2 linked regions of the Struthio camelus genome follow. The protein of the gene in region 2 interacts with the protein of the main gene of each other region in a pairwise test. Links are inferred from orthologs where the notes say so. Each region holds a gene or a part of one and is shown on either strand. Other genes may lie near its edges.

Region 1 (7,608 bases), on a different chromosome or scaffold from region 2:
GTTAGGATTCAGGCTTAATGTTTCCCCCTTCCCTGCTGAATGGAGTTTTGTGATTTCCTGCCTGTCTATCCAGCGGCCTCAGGCACCACTGAATCATTTTTCTGTCATTGCTTGTATATATTGCCTGTATAACCCTTTAGTCTGCCTGTGGTGTTTTTGCAGAGCTGAGAAAGCATCTCAATTCCCCAGTCAGTCTGGGGCTATTTCATTGTTTTACTGTGTGAAAGCAGCAGGAGAGGCAAGGCTCTGAGCGGCTCCCTGGCAGTGCTTGCTCTACCCCCGCGTGACATTAACTTGCTCCACAAGAAATGTAAAATTGCTCTACGGTCTGGCTTCAGCTCTGGGCACAGGAGCCACTAGTAAGTCTGGAGGTAGGAAAAAGTTGTCCATGCTCTGCTTTCTGATTCATGCAGCGTGTGCAGGGCAGAGGGTTTTATGAAACACCACAGTAGTGGATCTTCAGATCCTACCAGACCAGGCAGCTATTCTGGCCAGTAACACCACATACGCGACAGCCTGCACAAAGGCAAGTGGGTGATTTTACAGTGAGAGTCTAGGGGCTGAGGTTCAGTGGCTTTAGCTACAGAGCCAGAAACTTGGAGAAGATATGCTGAGAAAAGGGGTCAGCAGAGCACCAGGGAGAGATGGTTTAGGCAAAAATACAGTAGGAAATGAACATATTTCAGAGAAATAAAACCATGAACACAACTAGGGCATCACGTGAAAACCAAAAGTTGGACAGCCCCCGGCCAGGCCATTAGTGAGCTTCTCTAGCTGCTCTATTTTAGAGAGAAAGAATAAATCATTCAGTGAATTCCTCATGTAAAACAGGATCAGCATGAAAAGGCAGAATAGCAGGTGGAAGCATTTGCACGTCCAGCCTTTCAGATGGGAGCTTCCCCAACACGTCAACCTGGCCCATCAAAACAAAATTCACTGTCGTCGTTATTGTCACGTTCTTCCTCGTTAGCAGGTGTTGGACTTGACAAACCAGGCACTAGCTCCTTTCATTTGCCATCTTCAGCGTCAGACCAGTATTCAAAGAGAGCACAACGTGCCGTCACAGTCAGCACACAGACACAAACATTGCTTGGGTTTTACGCTCCCACCTCTGCGGAGTGGCTGTGCAGTAGCTGGGTGAGCCTGGCCCCTGTTCAGTGGCTGGGGAGAAGCTGGGTTTGTTTTGTCCCTCCATCATGACCCCTGTGCATCCCCCACATTTTCTATAAGCTGCTTTTAAAGCAGTAAAACCGCTGTCCGGCCCTGGGACGTCTGCATGCTGCTACATCCCTCGTGGACTCTTATCCTCCAGGGTCAGGAGTGAGACCCTCCGAAATGCTCACTGCCGCCTCCTCTGTGGTGACCCTTGCATCCAGGCGCTCTAGTACCGACACTGCTCCCCAGGCCAAGCCTGGCAGATCTCTTGGTCTCAGCTGGTGCTGGAAGGTTTCTAGACTGGACAGCAGTTCACCAGCCAGCCAGATACCATGGAAAGTACTAAACTGCAGGGAGCTGGCTACTGTGGTGTCTTCCTAAGAATAAATTAGATATCTGTGTGTGAGGAGAGTGATGCTGCAGCTCAAACCCACCATCCGGTATCATGCAACTTCCTCCATCAATATAGGAGTCTCTTGCGAGGAGGGGTGAGGGCATATTGCACAGGGAGCAGAGCCACAAACTACGCTGTATAGGGCTCCTGGCAAACCCTCACTGCAAGGCTCAGGGGTTCGAGCAGTACTGAGCTAGGGAAAACCCTGCTCTGTACCACATAGCACCCTGTATAAGGCAATGTTCATGATTACTCCCCGTTGCTGGTGTTCGAAAGCATCAACATCTAATGGCTACAGAGAGGTCAAGCACTGCTGCTGAATGACAAGAACTATACAAGATTCTGCTTGTGGTGGCAAAACAGCTGGGAAAATGGGGAAAATGCTATTTTTTAAAAGGTTTTATTTGGACACTTGGACATTTTAGAAATAATTAAGTCTCATTAACATACAATTCAGTTCTTACTCCCATATTTTCAGAAGGAACATTCAATTCCCACATTGGGGGGGGGGAAAAAAAGATCCTCAAACCTGTAACGCCAGGAAGCCCTTCCACACGGTTTCTAGAGAAAGGCTGGCTTCTCCAAGCAGAAACCCAATGAGCAGGAGTAGCACAAATTCAGCAACTGCGCAGATGCAGTTCCCACAGAGGCCTCTGGGCATTACCAAGGTGGGCATCAAGTACTACACACTTGCGCAGCGATTGCCACCAGTGTTTGCTGGCTCTGCTCCCCAGAGGGGTGGGCTAAGGCCTCAGACTGATGTCCTGTGAATGCAGCACACCACGCAGGACTCTGCCGTGCTGTGACCGAGCGTGCTGTTGGACACAGCTCGGGTGGGCAAATAGCAGGGAGGAGTTGAGGCACATCAGGCTTACAGCTTCTCTGTGCTACAGGCACAGACCACGGCCTGGAGTAGGTAATTCAGAGCCTCTAAACAAAGCAGTAGCAGGAAGGGAACGTGAGAGCTTTCATTTTGCTAACTAGAGCTTTGCACGCTCTCAGATGGTCCATTTAGTTCCCTCTGTAAATTGTCTGAAACATTGTGCGCACAGACAAAAGACAAGATACTTCCCTTCTCTTAAATATACCACCAAACATCTTGCAGCCTTTTCAAAGTGCTTTGTTCCTCTCCCTCTCCCAGGAGCTATCCCTCTGAACACCACCTCCTTCCTCTGCTCTGTCACACACTGTTCCCCAGACTCCCAATTCAGCTCCTTGCACCGACTCTCCTCTTCTTCCGTCTCTACCTTTTAGCACTCATTCTCCTAAAAAGAAATTGCTTTCACCCTCCAAAAGCAGGGTGGTTATTAGACTGAAAGGAGAGAGACCCTGGGCTTCACTTTCCCAGGAAAGCGCACAGGGTATCGGACACAACTGCTCCCCACACTCACCCCTCCTAGGGCTCCTCTCCCCTGTGGATCTGCTGGTGCCGGAGGAGCGCAGAGCTCACGGTGAAGCCCTTCCCACAATTGGTGCAGGCGTAGGGGCGCTCCCCAGTGTGGATCCGCCGGTGCTGGATGAGGTGGGCACTCTGCCGAAAGCTATCCCCACAGTCGGCACAGGCATAGGGCCGCTCCCCTGTGTGGACTCTGCGGTGCCGGAGCAGGGCCGACCTCCACAGGAAGCTCTTCCCACACTCAGTGCATTCGTAGGGGCGCTCCCCAGTGTGGAAGCGGCGGTGCTGGATGAGGTGGGAGCTCACAGTGAAGCTCTTTCCGCACTCGGTGCATCCATAGGGGCGCTCACCCATGTGGAACCGCCGGTGCTGGATGAGGGCAGAACTCACCGTGAAGCTCTTCCCACACTCGGAGCACTCGTACGGCTTCTCCCCTGTGTGCACCCGCTGGTGCTTCATGAGCTCAGAGCTCTGGCTGAAGCTCTTGCCACATGCTGCGCACTCATAGGGTTTCTCCCCTGTGTGGATTCTCTGGTGTCGTGTCAGGGCCGAGCTCACGCTGAAGCTCTTCCCACAGTCGCTGCACTCAAAGGGTTTCTCCCCCGTGTGCACTCGCTGGTGCTGGACCAGCTGCGAGTTCCCAGAGAAGCTCTTTCCACACTCGGCACACTTGTAGGGCTTCTCCCCCGTGTGGGTTATCTGGTGCCGGATCAGCTTTGAGCTCATACTGAAGCTCTTCCCGCACTCGGAGCACTCGTAGGGTCTCTCCCCCGTGTGGATTCTCTGGTGCTGGATGAGATGCGATCGCTGCCGGAAGCTCTCCCCGCACTCGGCGCAGCCAAAGGGTTTCTCTCCAGTGTGGATTCTCCGGTGCTGGACCAGGTTGGAGCTCACCCGGAAGCTCTTCCCACAGTCCCCACATATCGTCAGCCTCCCCGCAGCAGGATTTCTCTGCTGGCTGGGGTCTGGCAACCTCCTGAAACTTTTTCCACGTAGCGTCGCTCTGCTTTGCCTCTTCCCCAGGGGAGGTCTCTGAACCCTTTCTGACCTGCGTGGGTGAACAGGGTCCTGTTCAGGACTCTGGGAACTGTTCTCCTTGGAGAGTCCCGATAGTAAATCTGGATCCACTGGCCGAGGAATGCCCTGGTGGGGATTTTCCTCTTTCTTGCTCACAATCCTATCCTCAGCTGCAACAAAACAAGAATCCAGAGAGGAGTCACAGGCAAAAAAGGAAATTTTGTGCAGGGGAGATCAAAAGGGGCTAAATTCTGAAAGTTCAGGAGTTTTTATACTTATTATCAGTCTACTGATACTTCCCTCCTACTCAGGGTATTTTGCAGCGTTATAGGAACAAGCCCTGGAAGGAGCCCTGCATGCCTTGCAATAATTGGAGTCTACTAGAATTAACTAGAATCAACTTTATTTTATTAATTCGTCAAACCAAAACCACAGTGAAATTTCAGCTCTGAATCCCCGTTTCGACATTTAGAAGACTGTTTCCTGACGACTAATGAAGTACAGACAGTCCACAGAGAGAAATTCAGAAGGTCACCACCAGCAAGCCTGAGCAGCACAGTTAGGACTGCAGGAGGGGTTGCGGGGAGATAGCTGCTGCTTTACCCTCTAAGGACACAAACAGCAAACAACGCACAGCCCCTGCTCCACAGCAGTCAGTCCAGATTGTTACTGACTTTGCCACAAACTGCACGAAGCCATGAAGTCAGTCTTGAGCGCCTGCCAGAAAAGCAGCCAATTCTGCTCTGCTTTTAGGTCCTTTTGACATCATAGATGATCCCAGATAAGGAATCCTGCCTTCCGCATACAAGGTCAAAGCTTATAACTCACAGAGACTGTCGAGGCAGTGCCTGTACATAAGGAAGGATGGCTTGTGGGGCAGAGCAGCATGTGACACCTCTGTTCCTTTGCCAAATCAGATTCTCAGTTAAAGCAGATGTTAGAGGTGTACAAAGTCTTCTTCAATACAGACCAGACATCCCAAAGAACTACACTGAAAGTCACATAAGACAAAGCTCTTCCTCCCCCTGGGAGGACTCAGCAGTGCAAAGCCCAGTCCTGATGTGGGGGCAGCAGTGCTCCATCTAAAAGATGGACAGAAGATCCTGATGACCACTGACCAGGCTGTGGCTGTCACCCCTGCACCTGATCAGGCTGCCTGGCTCAGGGTGTGAGAACTCCTTGCACTGGCTTGGCCTCCACACTGCAAGAAGACGGATATTTGAAGTGTGCAGAAAAAAGCCAGTCCTTTGTATAGAGAGGGCTAGATATCAGGAACTACGTGCAAATTTGTTGTTTGGTAAGAGATCAAAGAGAACTGGGTGACCCATGCTCATGAGCTTTGAGAAAAAAGCTTTTCAAGTCTGCTCAGAGAAAGGAAGAAGGGAGGGACTGTTTGAAGCATGTGCCACTCAAATGGTCCCCAGACATCTCAAGTAACATTGGTAATCTAGAAAGTAAGAGGATGAGGAAAACTTAAAAACACCTCTAAAGAGGAACGACCTGTGTAAGGCTCTCCTTCTTAGGACTTTTGAAATGGCAGAGGTAGGAGAATACTCTGTGTAGACACAGCAAGATCTCAGCAAACGGGATTCATACAGAGTTGGTGGAAAGTCTAGAAAGTTTTAATACTAGCCTCCTGCCCAGGTTTGGGGGAGAGGAGCCTTTAAAGGTCAAGATCATGCTGGGCTCTGTAACATTCTCTTCTTGTTTTTGTAGGCTTCCCCACAGAGGATCTCCTGCTCTGTCAAAAGACTCACTGTATTGTATAGAGCATGCTCAACAAGCAGAACAAAGCCAGGCAGTTCCCACAGCGTTAGAAGTAAAGGTTTTGAGCTTGAAAGGAAAAAAGCTGCTCTTCCAGGATACTATATCTGGAAGTGTTACTAAAAGTTGGGCTGAGAGTCAGAGAAGGGCCATAGAGAACTGTCTCATTCAGCAGAAGGTTACTTGGATTACAACAGATGAAACCTTTATGCTCTGACTTGTGCTGCAGGTATTAGAGGGGGAGAGGGGGAGAGGGGGAGAGGGGGAGAGGGGGAGAGGGGGAGAGGGGGAGAGGGGGAGAGGGGGAGAGGGGGAGAGGGGGAGAGGGGGAGAGGGGGAGAGGGGGAGAGGGGGAGAGGGGGAGAGGGGGAGAGGGGGAGAGGGGGAGAGAAAACGCACAGAGAAGACATTGGCCCTAAGGCATGAGACATGCAGGCCACCTGGAGAGGCTTATGCCCATCTTTGAGCAGAAGAAAAGTAACTTTCCATCAGTGCAGAACAAATCCATTGCGAAAGGCACTGTTGGTGAAATATGGGTTCAAGGGCCAAGCCCACTGGAGACTCTCTGTGGCTGGTTCCACATTAGACACTGATAAACGTGAAACATGAAAAAAAGTGCATGTCAGTGGAAGTAATACTAGCTATACAGTTATCACTGCTTCCTAGGGCACAGGAAATGAACAAATTACCTGTCCTCTTATTCACATGAAGTCTCACAGAAGCATAAACTTTATGAATCTACATTGTACAGTCAATGCTAGGTCAGTAGAAAGCTTTGCCAAGACAAGACGCTTGCAAGACGCTTCCAGGGTATTTACACAGAGCAGCAACTCCTTCTAGCACACTGCTGAAGTGTGGTTTGGTGAGCAATCCTAACCAGTTTGAAAGCATGTACCCTCAATATTGCTGTGGGCTTTGCTGTCAGTGGAGAAACGTAGCTTGTTGCAGGCTTACTGAGGGCTTATGCATGAAATCACTGGTAAAACAGGACCTGTGAAGCATGCACCCTTTTTGCTGTCGGGCAAGGGTAAATAGATGTCAGAGGGATGTACGTGGGGTGTAGAAATGGCAACACACACCTCTGGAGAGAGGCATCACATCCAAGTTTAAGACCGGTCAATCAGACTAATAGATTTCCAGATGATCTCTATAGACTATATGGACTTTCAGGGGTGAAGGGTGAGTTGCTGTTGGCTATGTTTTAACCAAAAGTATGGAACAGCTTGAGGACTAAAGCCATAGGCATGGAGACCTCCAGATTTTTTTCCCCTTAGCGGGGTAGACAAGTATGCTTTGTATAAAGATTCATTTGCTACCTCCTGATTCTCTGAAAACTCTATCTTGTAAAATAAACAGATAACATATACCAATAGTGAGAGATTGATGTACAAACCACAGGCGGTTCCAGCGGTCTGGCAGAGTTGCAATAAGGAAGTTCATGCCTTCAAAGAGGAAGGTCACTCCTGAACCTTAAGTATGCAATAAAGGAAGGAGAGTCTAGAATTCCCACCCACCCATACATGACATATGTATGTATTTAATCTTCCTCTTTCTAATCGGTATAAGAAAACACCATGACACGATTTCACAGTGAACTCCTGAGATACCTTTCTCAGCAGTTTGGTGTGGTAGTGATTCCAGTTCTTCCCTCAGCTAGTTTTCATTAGAATGGCCCCTTGAGAGGAACAGAAACTGGAACTTTGCTATTCACCATGGGGGCATTTCCATTGGTCTGCACTTACTCCCGTCCAGGCCTGGAGCAAAAGAGAAAGGTAATATCCCAAGACAGGACAAGAAGAGGACATCTCTGACAGGCTGGCCTGAAGCTGTTGACCTGTTTGTCAAACTTACTGAGTAGATGGAGCTAGTGAAGTTATTGTAT
Region 2 (7,151 bases):
AACATAATGGATCTTGGCTCATGCCCAGATCTGAGGCATGACTTGATGGCTGTTCCATTAGGAGATCAATCACCTCCTATCTACATAATTGTCTGGGAAAAAATATTCAGTATCAATCAACTTTTTATTTCCAAATTGCTTTCTTTTATATATGCAGTGAACCTTAATTTTGAATTTTGTTTCACAAGTTATTAACACTGTATACACTTACTATCTTTCTAACTTTAGACAACTCATTTTCAGTTATTAGGGGGAGACTCATCATGACACACTTCCATCTAAACTGCTTATTATGCTTGTAGTTATGCTATTATGTCATTCTCAATCATCACAAATGGAAACAATTTCATTTTATGATTACCACACCTAAAATTTTAACTGGCTCACCTGCGTAACTTAGATTTATACTGTGTTTCCTAAGGCTACAATGAAATTCATGTGGAAATGTATTTATATATCCGTGAGTATTAGTTTTGATTATACTAGTCCAGCAAAAATATGCAGACTGGCTAGTGTTTGCTTTTACATTGGAGTATAGTATTTCAAGACCAGTAATATGATAAACAGCATCCATTTCAGGTGCGTGGTGTTACAGCAGCACCATTTCAGAGAACTAAGATATTTTATCTTTCAGCCAAGACTCAGCTTATTACTATCTGCAAAAGCTGCAGGTCACACACTGTCTTTAATCAGTCCCAGGTGATTATACTTCCTCCTCCATTTTTCTTTATATTTTAAAATATTTGCTGACAGCACACTGTATCAAGCCATTGTCAAGCTATAAGGGCTGTATAAACAATATCTATTGCTTCTGTTCTGAGTTATCAATATATTTCAACTGTAAACATTGTGTAACAGAAATCATCTGACATGGAACTGCAGTGGACGAGCATTTCAGAGTCAACACAAGGCAGAGGAAACAGCTTTGAGGCTGCGGGTTCGCTCTGAACTGTCTCAGAGGGGAACCCTTCTGTCTCCGCTACACACACAGCCTAGTTTCTAGGTCTATGTGACAGTATCTTCTGAGTGCCTGGGAAGATCCCTCCCTGCCCGTTACACTGTTTACCGCACTTCACCAAAATGTCTCAGGATGTAGTTTATTTGATCCATTTGTCATAGAGTATTTCATCGCTTTGCATTTATCATGTATGTAGAAAGGCAGAGCATTCAAAGCTTCCTTTAAAATAAAACTTTATTACAAATATATTTTGGTACTAGAAAGCCTTAATTTTGAGTTTATTGGGAAGTGGGTGTACAAAGGCTCACCACATAGGAGAGTCACACAACTAAAAGTGCATACACTTCAGTAGACAATGGTAACGGGAGACTTCCTGCCCGCTTATTCTTATGGTGTATCTGCATTATTATACACTCACTGAAGCTAATACAAAAATTGAAGAAAATACTAGAAATGCAGGTCAGAGGCACAAAATGAAAGCACTGCTTACTTTTATTCTAAACAATAAAAGGGTGCCTACAGGAAGTTTCCAAGAAGTAATTCAGTAACTCTGAATATTGTGCTTTTTGTATGTTCTATAGCAAGAAATTAGATTAGTGAAACTTTAAGGCCTAGACTCTTTCAGAACAAAACAGTGACACTATTTAACAGACTATCTGAACATGCAAACAGTAGAAATATATTCAGCTGTCTCAAAGCTTTGACTCCATTCTTTACAGTCTCCTGCCAAAAGAACCTTATTTACTTACTTCCTTCTTCTATTTGTCTCTATGGAAAATTTTTGTGCCCTCCTCCGATGTGTTTTTTGATCTTCTTTCAGTGCCTGACGTTCTTCTTCTAAATCCCGTTCACAATGAAACTTTAAAGCTCTATCCCTAGTATCATGCTAAGGATAATGAAAACATCTGTATCAAACATCTCAGAAAAAGGTATAATGTCACTGAGGATTTATTATGTACCTCTTTGGGAAAGGGCAACCTTTAATCATGAGATACCAAATGTCACTATGCTTTTCAACTAATTATAAAACAGCTGGTCCCATAAATATATACTATGGTAGTACTTTACTTCTTGTTCATCCAGAACAAGTTTAATTGCATCTTACTATTTACAGTGACTTTAACAAACACCAGAGGCTTTGCATGCAACATTTATGATATCAGCTGATGAAATCTCACTTTCTTTGGTTTATTTGATGATACATCTTTCTGTTATCACAGAATCGTTTAGGTTGGAAGGGACCTCTGGAGATCATCTAGCCCAACCTCCCTGCCCAAGCAGGGACCTCTAGAGCATATTATTATCTAAATCTGTGACATACGGACACATTTATCACAGGGAAAGTCTGTCTGCATACAGAGCCCTCCCCAGTTCTAAGGGATTAGCTGAAATGCATTCATACCACTAGATAAAACAGCTCTCCTTACTGTAAGTACAGGCAGAGCTTAGAACTTTTATCAGTATCACTTAAATCATTACTCACATCCAAGTAAGAAAATAGGGATTCTGGAATTAGGATGGAAAATATGCTTTCCAACTGGCAGTATCTTCAAGAAGAAAAATAAAAAAAAATGCTAAGAGGACTGTCACTCAACTTTTCTGTGGTAGTCTAAAAGATAATAACGTACAACGAGCTCTCCTTCAAGTCATCACCGAAGCAATACCTGACAGACAGAATTTCTGTTTCACCAGCCACCACCCCGACAGCGGCGCTCCGCCTCCTTGGTTTACGAGCGTCAGGGTGAGAGAGATCATCAGGTTCAACGTTTTCAACTGATTCTGTCACGCCCCTGCCCCCCACGGGGCACCCCACAGAGCTCGCCATCCCCCGCGCGGCCTGCCCCCTCCGCGGGGCGGCCGTGCCCCACGCTGCCCGCCCGCGTACGCGGAAGGATACGCGGAGGCCCCACTGCGAACCGCGAAGTCCCGGCGGCCGCCAGGGAGGTTTCGGCCCTTCCCGCCAGGCTCCATTCAGCGGCGCGGGGCCGGGGCCCCGCTGGTCAGGGCCGAGCGCGGCCCGCCCGCGCCGCCATCTCGGGACCCAGGGACGCCGCTGCCTTGGCAACGCGCGGGGGCGGGGCCTAGGCGGAGGGGCGGGGCCTCAGGGCGGCTCGCGCCCTGTCGGGGCGGTGTCGCCACAGCGGCCTGCAGAGCGGCAGCGGCGAGGCGCCGCGCCGCGCCGCCTCCCGCCACGTCCCCCGTCCTGCATTCCGTTCACAAAGAGCAGGATTTGCTTTATTTTGTTGTGTTTTTAACTGATATCGTAGTAAACACATTTCTAAGTAGTTTTGCAGGACAAATGAAACCCCTTCCTGGCCCCGCTGCCGTTTGTGGGTGTGCGGAGCTCCGTGTGGACGCGTCTTAGATCTGTTACTTGAGGCTGTGGCTTGGAATTCACAACATAAGGTTTTTTTTTTTTTTTAAACGGGGTGCAGAAATAGCAATAAAAAAATTAAACTATGTGTGTGAAAATGAGTTAAAAAACTCACGCAAAGCAAAAAAGTAATTTGCTCTGAAAGAATGAAACACTGCATTTTTGTTTTCAGGCAAAGCAGGGTGTGTTGTCCTGGGATATTGCCATGCCTGGGATGAGTTGTCAGCACAAGGCTAAATGCCTTGGCGATTTCCTGGCGAGACGTTTCTTGGCTGTTCTATTTGAGTTTGCACCAATTCCTCTCTTTTTCAAAGAGTGCAGCTGTTCTATGTCTTTGACTAGAAGGGTAAAAATAGTATTCTACACTTGTAAAACGCTTTTTTCACAGCCCCCCAACAAATATTTTTAATGCAGCTTGTGAGGTAGGTGTTACTATTACCATTTTATACGAGGCTCAGATTACCGAACATGCTTAATGTTTATAGCATCCCAGTTTTATAGTTGAGAGGAAAACCCTGAAATGGAAGCCTTTCATCTCCAGTTCAGAACACCAGCCCCAAATTCTCCTTTCCAACCAATTGAATTAAGTGTCGCAGGTAGAAGCCTAGTCGCTGCTATTTCCTCCACGTGGTACTTTTCCTGTTCTTTTCAACCTACGTAAACTTTTTAAGACCCACTTTGCACTGCTTCATTTAGGATGCGGTTGAAGGCTTTCTCAGGATCAAGACCTGATCCACCCAGACAGGACTGTAGTGGAGCTGCGAAACTACTGTGGAGTTTGAGCCCACGTCACACCTGGAAAGATCATAGTCATCTCCAGCCTGGCAGGACTGGGACTTCTTTAGACTTTCTGCAAGTTTTGATGGTGTGCAGCATCAACTCCCACCTTCTGAAGTTTAGGATTAAAAATAGTCTTTACATATCTTCTAGTCTTTTTTTTTTAACTTTTTTACTTCTTCATAACTCTCTTTTAGATTTATTAACTGTCTTCTCCTGGTGAAAGATCTTAGATCTTTCAGTTTGTGGGATGAGAAGGTGGCTAGCTGAGGACCATATATTCTATAACTGTATGATTATTCTGGGACAGGAAGCAGCCTGATCTCATGCCGTTACAAAACAGAAGGTCTTACTCTGGCAACTGACTTCAAAGAAGTTTCATAAATTTTAATATGGGCTACAGACTGATATTCCAGTGAAGGATGAAGATCAGTTCCTAAATCTTTATGGGACAGATTTTGACATGATTACAAATCTTAAGGCTGGAACATAACTATGCTGCTGCAGAAACACGTTTTCTTTCCTTTTGGTCCAGGGGGGATTAATCTGCTTTAGCCCTTTACTTCATATCTTACTTTCCTCCAAGCTTCAGGTTAACTGAAGGCCACTGCATGGGGTGAGGAGAGATAAGAAGTTCAGTCAAAGTTCTGATCTTTTTTAGTGCTACTTTTTAACATTTGGCTCCTTTTCTTAGTTCTGTGTATAAAAAGAAGAATAAAAACTGTTATTTCCTCCTTAATGTCATATATGGGCAGCCATGAAATCTTTTCACTTTCTTACCTCCTTGTCAGAGACTGTATTTTTGGATCATAGACTACATCTTTTTACAAGAGCATCAGTCGGTGCACTAGTTACATTCTCGTGTTTCTTATTTTGGAAAAATATAACATGCTATGAAGTACGTTAGAACAAATTAAAAATTGGATTTTGTAAGATATCAAAAAAACAAAGTTGTTAGTAATTTCACCAGCAGCTGAATGTGCTCCACTCATGAGGAAACCAGCTGCAGGTGCTCCATACCTTTTTGATATTCATTTCCAAAGAAAACATTAGATTAAAAAAAGATTTTTTTTGTCCCATGTGTAAACAATCTTCAACATAACACAAACTATTATTTTAAAGTAATATTTTTCAGTTTTCTGTAAGGAATTTGCTTTTAAGGCATATTCTGAAATTGCCCCACAGCTGGATCTAGTGCATTACCACCAGACAAGTGTAAACAGCTTCATTTTAGTTACAAAAACCTTTGCAAAAAGATGAAAACAGTGATTAACACTTTTTCCTTTCAAGTAGCCCAGACTTGCCCAGATTCAGTACAAACATACATATATACCAATGCTCAAAAATAGCATTTAACAAGATCTGCCACAGTCTTATCACAATAAAAATACTTATACGCTCGTGTGAGTCATATAAAGATAATAAGCAGTAACTTCTCTCAGGTAAAAAGCAATGCAGTATATAAAATCTAGTGGAATGCATTTTATTAAACCCAGGCATTAAAGAAGTGGTGTGTTGGCTGCTCTTTGTGCTGTACACATTCCCAAATAGTTAGCTCAGGGCTTCGGAGTGTGCAGTTCTTTCCACAGAAATTCAAAACCCGTCAAAGCGTTTGCATTTCTTCAAGTAAAAGATGATCCCCTTTCGGGTAACTTCATTTGTTTGTCTCAGCATTTTTTTCTTCAGCTGGGGAGAGACTGTGATAAGTAATGTCAAACCTTGTTCCTCCAAGGTAAGATTTTCAATTATATTGTTAGCTAAGATAATGAAGGTAACTGAATAGTTTCTGAGAACAGTGACAGGTGTGTTTAAAATGTAGGTTGCTTTATTCGGGGTAGATATGAAAATATAGAAGAATCAGGTATTTTCATATAGCTGCATTGAGATTGTAGCAATTCTGTGTATAAGGAGAAGAACGTTTTTGTCTTAATGTCTTTCATTCACAGCTCAGCTGGTAGGGCCAGATTTTTATCTCACTTGCATCAGCGTAAATGCAGAGCAACTCTGTTGTCTTTGGCAGTTTCACGGTTTTTATTTGTATTGCTGCGGTCAGATTTAATTGTCTGTTTCATATCTGCTCCTTAACAAAATAAATGTTGATTTAAAATATTTGCTTGACAGTATTTAATTGAACATCTGGTGAGTAGCTGTGATAAAGCGATCTATTTATAAGTTTCAAATGATTTATTTATAACTCTTACAGAAATTTCCTTCCTTTATTTTGTACTTATTTCAAACTTGGAGAAACATACTCTTTAAATTCTCTAGCATTTATTTGAGAAACAGGATGCAATTAAATTAATAATTCAGACAATTTTTTGTAAAATCTGTTTGTTAACATTTTTCTGTAATTTTTACTTTCACTTTTTAAAAGCAAAAATCAGGAAAGAACTGTTCAGTGCTGTACCAGTGTAGTGCCAATACCAGAAAGAGAAATCTGAAGCAGGAAATGAGAACAAGTATGTTAAAGATGCAATCGAGTCTAAATAAGTTTTCTTTTTTTGAAGATCTGTATGTTTTCAAGGGTCCTATTTACATTTCAAAATACTGTGTGCAAACAGTGTACAGTGCTAAGATCATGCAATTAAAGCACAGAGACTCACATCAAAATATGTTTCATAATGCTTTCTGTGATGACACATATTTCAGGAATTACTTTTAGCATTTGTTTATGTGATGAGTCAGGGACATTCCCTTATTTCTTACACAGGTTTGTCACATGGCACCGTGGAAGAAAAAAAACATTAAGATATGCAAATATTATTTTAAAATAACATTTAGAGATGTAGCAGTTTGAAACTGCTTATGCCATTGTTTTTATTATTAGCGTTTCACCTGGTGGTATCCCTCTGAATAATGTCCCTTTGTTCTTTCCTCTACAAAAGCCTTTAAGATATTTTTCAAATGTTCGGTTTGTCGGCAAATCTGCTTGGGAGGACTTGTGTGCATAGCTTAATAACAGGTGCAAATATTTACAGTGGAACTGTTTTGATAATATGTGGTAAATGCAAAAGCCTGCTCCTTTCCAGTGAAAATAACTTT

The links.
Region 1: the proteins of CEP126 (region 2) and HMOX2 interact in a two-hybrid assay, tested with the Homo sapiens proteins (2 studies listed by BioGRID and IntAct). The link is inferred for Struthio camelus from reciprocal best matches to the Homo sapiens genes CEP126 and HMOX2.

What each region holds. Positions count from the first base shown.
Region 1 is NC_090956.1:18,690,256-18,697,863, reverse strand, and holds the start of HMOX2 (heme oxygenase 2), read right to left. Parts: upstream 2,946-7,608; 5' UTR 2,941-2,945; exon of another isoform or gene 1,934-2,940; intron 1-1,933. Other genes in the region: zinc finger protein 436, read right to left, coding at 2,946-4,132.
Region 2 is NC_090942.1:208,919,223-208,926,373, forward strand, and holds the start of CEP126 (centrosomal protein of 126 kDa), read right to left. Parts: upstream 3,017-7,151; 5' UTR 2,930-3,016; coding exon 2,856-2,929; intron 1,834-2,855; coding exon 1,708-1,833; intron 1-1,707. Other genes in the region: ANGPTL5 (angiopoietin-related protein 5), read left to right, coding at 5,743-5,841. UniProt on the Homo sapiens protein: Participates in cytokinesis. Necessary for microtubules and mitotic spindle organization. Involved in primary cilium formation.